2 linked regions of the Arabidopsis thaliana genome follow. The protein of the gene in region 1 purifies or fractionates together with the protein of each later gene. This does not show direct contact. Each region holds a gene or a part of one and is shown on either strand. Other genes may lie near its edges. The genes, in order: AT2G26380 and scpl35.

Region 1 (4,199 bases):
TGAACCTGGCGAAAAATTTGTGTTAACTCTTTCCAAAGTTCCTGGTTTGCAGTCACTCCCTCATGTAAGTATTTTTTATTTTAATTTTTGGACAAACGGTTTCACTTTGATAAATGTATTTTAAAACCGAACAATCTAAAAACCACAATAGTATATTTACTTGGTTTGCCTGACGGTTTTTTTTTTCTTTCTTTAAACTAATTAGAAGGATAAGTCCAAGATTGTCATATCCCTTGTTGATGAATATGGTGATGACGCTGAAGTGCCACTGCTAAAAATGTGTGTTGAGTTCGATAACCCTGCTCCAACTACAACATCGGTCTCTGCTTGATTAAATCCAATTGGCTTATGGAAATATGTTTTCAATTCTTCATATGACACTCCCGTATTACTTGCATTTTTTTTTCCCTTTTCGTGTTGTTCAACAAATAAAAGAAATATTGAATTTATAGTTTTATACGACTCTCTCGTTAATTACTAGCATCCTTTTTATATTTCAGTAACTATATAGAAAAAAATTCTAACGCATTTGCTAAAAATAAGCTACAACAACAAATCTCTAGCTATGTTTTTATCGCAAATAAGCTACAACAACATAATAAGCTACATTTGCACATGAATAAACGATGCACGAATCTGTCTCACCTTGTTTTATACGTATAGAGCGCACTTGTTTTCTAGAAACTTTTCCATTATAATTGATTAGTTCAGAAAAAAATTAGAAGATTTGAAGGTGTTGTGTGGCGATATTCATATACCAAAATCAGTAACACAAAATCAGTAAATAAAGGAACTTAAAGAGAATACGAAAATTAAACAAAGACAAAAGAAGAATATGGAACTTGTGACACATGAAGTTCAAAAACAATATAACATGACGATGAATGAATCCATTAACCTTTACAATGACTTAGCGGGGAGCCGCATAGACAGTCGTTGCCGGCAAACACACTTTCTGGAAACTTTGTCACCGGAAGTTTCCCACAAAGATGGTTTTGACTCAAGTTAAGTGTCTTTAATCCGGCCACCCTCGCCGGCACTTTCCCGAACACTAAGTTCCTTGATAGATCAAGCGTCTCGAGCGTCGTCGAGAAACTTAGCTTCCTCAAATCGAATCGGAGTTTGTTCCCCGACATTCGAAACTCCCGTAGTTGCTCTGCTCCCTTCAAGAACCTCAGTGGACTCCCTGAGATCTCGTTGTCCGAAAGATCAATGGAAACGTAGAGATCAGTTTGCCTTGTTTTCCAATCGTCTAAGCTCATCTTGATTCCACATTTAGCCAACTTCAAAGAGCCGAGGATCGACGCTGAGGTCACCCATTCCGGGATTGTTTCCATGTGAAACTTGTTGTACGACAGATCTAGAGTCAAGATGTAATTCTTCACGTTCAAAACAGGGAATGGATTGGTTAGAAGATTGTGAGAGAGATTGATATTAGCAATTTTAGTCAGCTTGGCCAAACTCTTCGGCACGGCTCCAGAGAAACGGTTCTTGGAGAGATCCAGTGTGTCGAGCGCCACGAATCTTGATAAATAGCTCGGTATCGACCCCGAGAGATTGTTCTGACCTAGCTCAAGGAACGCAAGAACCGGCGCGAGCGATGCAATCGACGGAGGGAGCTTCCCGGAGAATCTGTTGCGTGAGAGAGTGAGGATTCGAAGGTTAGTCATTGATTTGAAAATATCCGGGATGGTTCCAGAGAGACGGTTTCCATCGAGATTAAGATTCGAAATGAGCTTGAGATTAGCAATCCCTAACGGTATTGTTCCGGTTAAGAGATTACCGCCAAGATTTAGGTAGTTTAACCGAGTTAAATTGGATATGGAACTCGGGATTGAACCGATGAACCGGTTTCCTTTAACGGTTAATGTATCTAAGCGGTTAAGCGCGCCGATGTTGGCTGGAAGAGGACCAGAGAGACGTGTATTCTCGAGGTAAACATACTTTAGATGTGGTAATCTGAATAAAAATGGTGGAAATGGTCCTGTGATGTTTTTGAGATTGATAAAGACGACCCCTTCCAAATGCTGGAGTTTGGCCAGTGACGGAGAGATTGTGCCAGAGAGAAAGATTCCGGCATCGTCGGACTCTATGCGGATAGTGAGTACGACGACACGGTTGCCGTTAGGGCAACTGACACCGTTCCAAGAGCAGCAATCAGTACCTTTTTTCCAAGTGCTTAGAATACCTGAAGGATCTTTGGTTATACCCGATTTAAAAGCTAATAGACCCGCCTCATCATCAGGATGACACGTGGCTGCTGCGGTGGGGTTTAAACACCGGAGAAAGATCACGGCGGTGAAAATGAAGAAGTTGTGGAAAGAACAAGAGTTCATGGTAGTGAATTTTATTTTTTGTAGTGAGGTTGAGAGAAGCAATTAGCAAACTGATAGCTAATTAGTCTAAAGAGAGATTAGACTCGACACCAATTAATATCAAATAGTCAAAGTTGACCCATTTGGACCAATCCATTTGCGCGTAACGATTAATACAGTGTAAAGATAATTAAATAACAGTATAAAACGTGACAAAAATAAAAACTATATAGCATAATAACTACCAATTATCTTTTGTCAAAAGGTTGTTTTGACAAAAAGGGTCTTTTGACATTATTTAAGATTATTTAGTATTTTATAGGAGGGATGTTTAATATTGACCGTTATAGGTTATAAACTCTGTAGAAAAAAGTATTCTTAGTAGTGACTTTTTGGTAAGATAATCCTTTTAAATGGTACTAATATAATGGGACAACATTTGGCATGTGGGAAAAGAAATATACAAATGAATGCTAAAAGGTACCGCTAGAGCCTAGAAGTTCAATATACAAATGAAAGAATATCAATAAAAGAAACCGAGGATAAAGCAAAAGAGAAAGGAGAGATGAATATTAAAACGCTAATTCATGATGTAGAATGTAGATGATGGCAATGTTCTCACCAAGATTGTCTGCCTTAAAGTCGGAAAAAGGTAGATTCGACGTAAACCCATATTTTGATAAAGGTTTATAAGACCAATATGCCATAGATTTAAAAATGATTCGGGATATATAAAAATGCAGAGAATATGTGTAATCTATTTGCTGAGATTTTCAAGATAAATTGCTCCGGATTGTAGTTCATTTGATAGAAAATGAGGACAATGGTTTCTAGACAAGAACGTACACTATTAGAACTTACACAAAGCAATAAAAAGAAGAAGAAGCAAACTTAGTTTCACCAAACCATAAATATAGACAAAATACAACAAACATATTTCATAATGTTTTCTCCAGCTAAGTAGGAGACACAATGGAAAAGCACACTAAGACCACGGGGTTTCCTACATTATTGCAAACCGAACAACGCTCATCACACGACATAGTTCAATCAATGTTTAGAAGGATCAAGAACTTGACCAATGAACAAAATTACTCCACTATTGTCTTCTCTCACAGTGAACAGAAATGGATGGTCAGCTACAAAATCCGGGTTCCGCATCAAACATTGGGGCATCATGATGGCAACAGAGACCGCTGCAGCTTCGGTTCCCTCTTCATCCACCTCAATGCAAGCTTTATGAATAATGCTTGAGACGTGCAGTTTATCACCGTTCGAAGGCGAATCAACCATCTCAGTTAAATTACCTTTGGAAGTAAATGGAGAAGTAAGCCCCATGTCTTTCAAAACTTCTGAAGCTTTAAACTCAAAAGAGAAGTTCAACTTCGGAATTCTCAAAGCATCGACTGGTGTACGGTGAAGTGGAATATGGCTATCAAGAAATCCTGGTTCAGTGCTTATTTTCTCAAGCAGAGCAGCTAGTCCGTCTTTGTCATTAGGAAGATAAATGTACATGGAGAAATGACGTTTATCCTCTACATAAGGTAGGCGCAAAACTTGGAAACCATCATAGCCTCTTAGATATTGGTCCTTATAACTCATCATGAAGGGGACTTTTACCGTGTTACCGTCAAGAAGATGAAAATCGTTATCTTTTGTTAGTTTTGCATCAAATTTTCTACTCCATGCTGCTTTGAAGTACACTGCATTTGCTAGAATAAGTGTGCTATTACGGATCTCCTTGATAGTATCGGTACAATCGCGTGAAAGAATCTGCTTGATGAGTCCATTTGTGTGGACGTCAGCCCATATATTTACCTCATCAATCACTTCAACAGGCTTCATGACCAAGCGATAAAAATTGACCAATCATTAGTGAAGTTG
Region 2 (6,788 bases), on another chromosome or scaffold:
GTCTTAACAAAATGTCCTGAAGATCAATCTTTCCGGAAGTTTCTAGAACCGGCAAAAGTCGATTATGCACGAGTTCGTGCAATGATTGACTGGTTAATTGTCTGAATTTAGCCGAATGGAATTCGACACTTGCTGCTTTCCTTTGTCGTTGCCACGTTCCGTCATCGGTGTTGAAAATCCCGTCTCCGAGTAGATCTTGCATGGTCTCACGGAAGTAAGAACCCTTTGGGTAGATAGAGAAACGGGTCTTGAGAAGATGCTCAACGTTTCTTGGGTCGCAGGTAACAACGCAGTTGAGGGTGCTAAACCAAGGACCTCTAAACCGGAATGTCCCGTTTTGGCTGATAAGAACATCAGACAGCCATTCGTATATGTTGCTTCGTACCGCGGATATCAACGAAGGAAGCATGCCAACCAACGGCCAAACGGGCATCCCTTGGTGTTTCTTCTGGCGCAAGGAATGTATTGTCGCAAACACGAAAAAGGCAATAAAGAGCTCAAGAATCTGAACATCTCTCAGGGAAAACAGCCTCCTTGAAACCAGAAGTTCGTCGCTTCCGAAACAAGAAGAGGACACGGCAGTAGCCGTGAGATTATAAGAAGAAAAACTAAGATTCATAGTGACAAAGAAGGAACAAAGAAACAGAGTGTGTATAATTTTTTTGCAGAGAGAAAGAGAAAGAGAGATAAGAAATAATGAAGTTGTTAGTTAATTTAGTAGGTGAAGAATGTGAAATGAGGGAAGAAGGATTTAAGACGCATAAGTTTCGTGTTTGGCTCTCAATGTGAAATTGGGTTTGATTTGGTGAGCTAAAAAAAGTTCGTTGCTCTTTTCTAACGGTCTTTTAAATTTGTGTGGCTCTTTATTCTCGTGTTTTGCTATGTTTTCGTTTTGGTCTTTTGAAAGGACGAATCTTTTGGAGGGGATTAACTAGAAAATTAGGAAAATTAGAATTAGGGTTTTAGACTTGAGGATTGTTGATAAAAGAGAAATTGACAGGTGGGTAGTGACGGATCACCTAAGTTCTTGTTTATTTGTTATACACTTTATTTTATTTTGTCAAACAACTTGTTTAATTTATACGTGTGGAAATTGGAATTGGAAGAATATTAATAGTGAGTAATTCAAATAAACAGAATTTTTTTGGATACTACTGTACTATTTTAAACCTGGCGGTGAAGCCGTTGTTGTTTGAATTTAGGTTATCTGCATATATCTGGTGAATAATTGTTTTCGAACAATTTGGGCTTAGAAAACATATGGGCCTATCAATAAAGTATCGGGCCTTTGATATATATAAAATTTCATTAACCTCATTATTAATGTATTTTGGGCCTTACAGGCCCTCTGGCCTCTTCTAGGTGACTATAGCATCAATAAATGATTCTCATTAAGCCGCCAATTTCTCTGGCCTCTTCTAGGTGACTATAGCATCAATAAATTATTCCCGAGACAATTGCGAATAAACCACTTTCTTTGGAAATTATCATTGAGATCAACATAAAACATAAGCTTTGTTTATATGACAATGCTGTTGTTTTAAAGCTCTACGGTAGTACTACACATGTAATTTAATGAATTTTAATTGATTTCTAAACAGTACGAGCAATTTGTGTGTTGAATTCAACTTTGATTATATGGTTTATAAAACCTTGTTTTGGGAGATGAAATTCTGAATTAAGAAAAATAAAGAAGAAAGCATTTAATTTGCCGATGGCTCCATCTCCATAGCCATGTGGTTCAGTCTCCGATGATGACATCTCAAGCGTTGAAATTCAATTCCATCTTTCTGTAAAAGGTGAGAAAATTGGTAGTGAACCAACCATGTTATCGGAGACCGTGGAGGCACATTACAAGGAAATGATTATGAAATGTGTTTATTGTTATAACATTTTCACGTGAGTATCAAAAAAAAAATCTCATGAAAAATAAAAGACTTTTAAAGTTTTTTTTAATATAAAAAAAGACAGTATAAAGTAGAAGAAGTGGGGGCGTTTTCTCATCTGCTCTTCATTTCGATAAATAATTGAAAAGAACAAAAGAAACAAAAGAGACGAGAAAGAGTTTTGGCGATGAAGAAGAACGCACTTTGGCTACTGTGCATTCTGGTGTTACCGGCGATAGCCTGTGGTAGGAAACCGGAGAAGAAGGTAACAATTTCATCCTCTGGGAGGAAGGAAGATGACCTTGTAACCGGTTTGCCCGGCCAACCACCGGTTAACTTCAAACACTACGCCGGTTACGTGAATCTGGGGCCTGAACAGAAGCAAAAGGCACTTTTCTATTGGTTCTTCGAAGCTCAACAAAACTCTTCTCGTCGTCCTCTCGTCCTTTGGCTCAATGGAGGTCAGTTTCTCTTCCTCTCTCGCTCATTTACATAAAGTATATTTTATTTGAAGTAGTAATACAAACTTATCATTGTTCTCAATTGGAATTTTCATTCGAAACTTCATTGTTTCTGCGGTTTTACAAATATGTTTACCAATTTTAAAATGATAGCACCTTTTTTGAAACGGATGATGTGATGATTATGTTTGCAATAAAAAAATCAGTGTAATGAAAGATTAATGAACTCTCAAGCTCGTGCCTCGTGGGCCATGGTAATTAGGTTAATACATATGTCTAATCACACCATCACGTATTGACCACAAAACTCTGTGCCTGCAGGCCGTGATGTTGGGAAAATAATAGATAAAACTTGCACGAAAAAGAAAAAGAAAAAACACTAAACATAGAGAAATGTTTTCGGCAGTTGTATTTTCTTGGATACATAATTGAATTTGGACTAAAATTTTAATTATTTATATAGCTAACTCTTAGAAAACATCAAGTTGTGTACATTGTCCTACCAAACTCCATCGTCTGTCTCCTTACCCTGCCTTGTAACTTGCCAAGCAGTTCCTTTCGTTTCAGTAACAATAAAATTTTACTGTAATTGTATCGCAACGAGATAGTAAAGGGTCGTTTCGATGCAGTTGTTTTTGTTTTAAATTTTCCAAAAATTACAAGTCTATCAAATAGCCAAAACTTAAAGTAGTCTATTGTTTGTACAGTTATATATCGCTATTCTTAATAATCTGTAACTTATAGATGCCGTGTATGGCTTGATAAAAATAGCCAGAAACACCATTAAGTGATACACTGATACTATTCAACATTTTTGTTCCTTACTATTGCTTGATGGAGAAGTGATAACAAATCTGATACAGTTGGGAATGCCGACAAATTTTAATTGCCTACTTTAATAATATTTCGTTTTGTGGAACGCACTTCAACAATCTGTAGTCTGTATACGGTGGAACGAGTAGGTTCTTGCCTCTTCGGGACAAATATAGTCCAGTCCTCGTTTTCTTAACGTGAAATCTCAAAACCATAGCTTAAAACAAGTTGTATTTGAAAATGAGCTTCGATCTAATTAAGTGAACAAAAGTTATTCACAAAAATTAAAATTAACCTGTTTAAATACATCATATTTTTTCGTGAAGATTCAGTGAAATAAAACACTATACTATAACCCAACAACATATTTGGAAAAAATATCAACGAAGTCGTATATGGTCCGGCTCTCTGACAGATATTGGACTTGTATCATTCAATCAGTGTCCTTTTTGTGTAACATTCAATGTCCAAATCTTGTTTCTAGAGTGAGTAAAGATCTTTTGTCTGTTTCTTCTTTTTCTCTCGGTAGTTGTACATTCAATTTAACGAATTTACTTTATACGGTTTGTCTTTTTTCCCACACGGTTCATTCCAATATTAGGATATTTAGGGATACGAGAAATATCAACCTAGTCTTTTTTATTGGGGCTAGAAATCGGATAAGATGTTGAATATTCAATTATACACTTAGAAATAAACAAAAAGCTATGTCTAATAATAATGTGGAGTTGTGTACATGTCTAGTTTGAACAGAAAGATTGAAATTTGTTAATAATGAGGTATTACCTTTATAGGATTTGCGTGATTGAAGGGTACACACGAATCCAATGTAATCAAGAGCAATAGCAAAATCTTTAGTTATTTAATTTCTGTATACGAAAATGATATTTGAATCTTGATAGACAACTCGGGACAAAATACTGACGTCTAGCTAGCTAGTCTCATTAATTTTATTTTTTCTCGACAAATTTAGTTGTTTAGTTTTGGATTTTCTTGACAAATCTAGCGATGGAATTGAAAATAGCAATTTTCTTTAGTGAATTGTATTATTACATATTTGGTGAAACTCTTAAATTATTTTCATCAGTTTAACTAAAATCCAAAATATGCAGGACCGGGTTGCTCATCAATAGCCTATGGAGCTGCACAAGAACTAGGCCCTTTTCTTGTTCACGACAACGGTGGCAAACTTACCTACAATCATTTCTCTTGGAACAAAGGTAAAATGAATTATTACCATACTATCAGAAACATTTGAATTCTTTAGCTAACATGTATACTAATATTAACCGTGGTTACATTAAAAAAAATGTTTGTGCAGAGGCCAATATGTTGTTCTTGGAAGCGCCGGTTGGGGTTGGGTTCTCGTATACCAATAACTCAATGGATCTTCAAAAGCTTGGAGATGAAGTTACTGCATCGGACTCTCTTGCTTTCCTGATCAACTGGTTCATGAAATTCCCCGAGTTCCGATCCAGCGAGTTCTACATCTCTGGCGAGAGTTACGCCGGTAAGTGCTTTATCCGATTTTAATTCTTGATTTATGAATTATATCACCTAATATAAAAGAATTAATCTTGTATATTAATATTATATAAAACAAAGATTGAATCACATGCTTTTGATCTTCTTTTCTCAGGTCACTATGTTCCTCAGCTCGCGGAGGTAATTTACGACAGGAACAAGAAGGTTACGAAAGACTCTAGCATTAATCTCAAGGGATTCATGGTATGCACTCTATATATATGTATACTACTAGTAAGGTTACTTGCGAAACGAGGAAGCAACGTTTCTTGTGCTATAAGTAAACATAAAAGGTATTCGTTTGATGTTGCAGATAGGGAACGCGGTGATCAATGAGGCAACAGACATGGCAGGACTAGTGGACTACGCATGGAGCCACGCTATAATATCGGACGAGGTCCACACCAGCATCCATGGCTCGTGCAGTTTTGAGGAAGATACCACCAACAAGACCGAACAATGCTACAACAATTTCAAAGGGTTCATGGATGCTTACAATGATATCGATATATACAGTATCTACACTCCCGTTTGCCTCTCCTCTTTGTTGTCATCTTCTCCAAGAAAACCTAAAATCGTCGTGTCTCCTCGTCTCCTTACTTTTGACGTACGTAATCTACAATACAATATAGTATCATTGTAACATAATGTAATTACCATAATCTCTCTTCTTACTTTTTCTTACCAATTCTTCTCTTTTGATGGTTTAGGATTTGTGGGACAAGTTTCCGGCCGGGTACGATCCATGCACTGAAAGTTATGCCGAGAATTACTTTAACCGGAAAGATGTGCAGGTTGCACTCCATGCGAACGTCACCAACCTTCCTTATCCGTACTCTCCTTGCAGGTTAGTCCTCCTTACGTTACGTGGTACTAACTAAAATTAATAGCTAGCTAGAGACTTTGTATGTTAAGTTTAATGTCATGTTTCTAATGAACAAAGTATATATATATATGATCTTGTGGGTGTGATTCAGCGGAGTAATAAAGAGATGGAGTGATGCTCCATCCACCATGATTCCCATCATACAAAAGCTTTTGACGGGTGGCCTCCGTATCTGGATCTATAGGTATCTATATCTTTCTTTAACTGTTTTAAAAATTACGTGAAAAATTCATATATATTGTCAATTAGTTTAATGTTCACTGGTTCAATGTTGGCTATAGTGGAGATACGGATGGGAGAGTTCCGGTAACATCTACACGTTATAGCATAAAAAAGATGGGACTTAAGGTCGAGTCACCGTGGAGGTCATGGTTCCACAAGAGTCAAGTAGCTGGATGGGTTGAGACTTATGCCGGTGGACTAAATTTTGTCACGGTGAGAGGAGCCGGTCACCAGGTTCCGGCCTTGGCTCCGGCGCAATCTCTCACATTATTCTCTCACTTCATTTCTTCTGTCCCCTTGCCTTCAAAACGGTTCTGATATCAGTACCGTCAAGTCATGATGGCAAGTTGTTGTTGTTGTTTTGGAACCTTCGTTTAGCACTCTCCCAATTGATTTTATGAATTTCAATTGATGAATAAAGATTCTTCAACTTTTAGTTATATAATAAGGCTTTTACCTTTCTACGCACGTTTTTCGTTGTTTAATAATTTCCAGTATTTCAATTTTCAATAATCAACAAATCAGTAGTCTACTTCATTAATTTTGGAACTCAATGAAAATTTTCAAATTAATTTTAATATGAATGAAATAAATTAGGGGGAGACGGCCCTTAAGGCCCATTATAAATTTAGAGGGCCATTAAGGCCCATTAACACAAATTAAACCCAGTCATGGAGCTGAGGCAGTAGCGTTCGTTTTTTTGGAATCAATCACCGAAAGAGATCTTTCAACTGAAGCACCTGCGATTCATCTTCTTCTCTGCCCGTCGTTTCAACGTGAGGAGAAAAAAGAATGGCGTTTGCAAAAATGATGTTTCTTTTCGGAAAATTTCAGCAGGTGAATATATGAAGTTCTTATCTTCTAATCTGACTTATTTTTGAAACTTCCTCTCTGGTACGTGTTTTTTGATGTTGGGTATGAAGAAAGTTCGAGGCTTTTCAAAGGATTTAGTCTTCACTGTAATATGATTCCTGTGACTATATTTTGTAGCTTGTA

Evidence for each region.
Region 2: the proteins of AT2G26380 (region 1) and scpl35 fractionate together in Arabidopsis thaliana (co-fractionation; one large-scale study listed by BioGRID). This does not show direct contact.

Annotation. Positions count from the first base shown.
Region 1 is NC_003071.7:11,225,722-11,229,920, forward strand, and holds AT2G26380 (Leucine-rich repeat (LRR) family protein), read right to left. Parts: upstream 2,403-4,199; 5' UTR 2,337-2,402; coding exon 894-2,336; 3' UTR 767-893; downstream 1-766. Other genes in the region: AT2G26370 (MD-2-related lipid recognition domain-containing protein), read left to right, coding at 1-64, 206-331; AT2G26390 (Serine protease inhibitor (SERPIN) family protein), read right to left, coding at 3,366-4,154.
Region 2 is NC_003076.8:2,655,163-2,661,950, forward strand, and holds scpl35 (serine carboxypeptidase-like 35), read left to right. Parts: upstream 1-1,891; 5' UTR 1,892-2,073; coding exon 2,074-2,347; intron 2,348-4,272; coding exon 4,273-4,380; intron 4,381-4,481; coding exon 4,482-4,670; intron 4,671-4,799; coding exon 4,800-4,888; intron 4,889-4,997; coding exon 4,998-5,291; intron 5,292-5,394; coding exon 5,395-5,531; intron 5,532-5,661; coding exon 5,662-5,754; intron 5,755-5,851; coding exon 5,852-6,110; 3' UTR 6,111-6,275; downstream 6,276-6,788. Other genes in the region: AT5G08250 (Cytochrome P450 superfamily protein), read right to left, coding at 1-619; AT5G08270 (C5orf35), read left to right, coding at 6,585-6,629. UniProt on the Arabidopsis thaliana protein: Probable carboxypeptidase.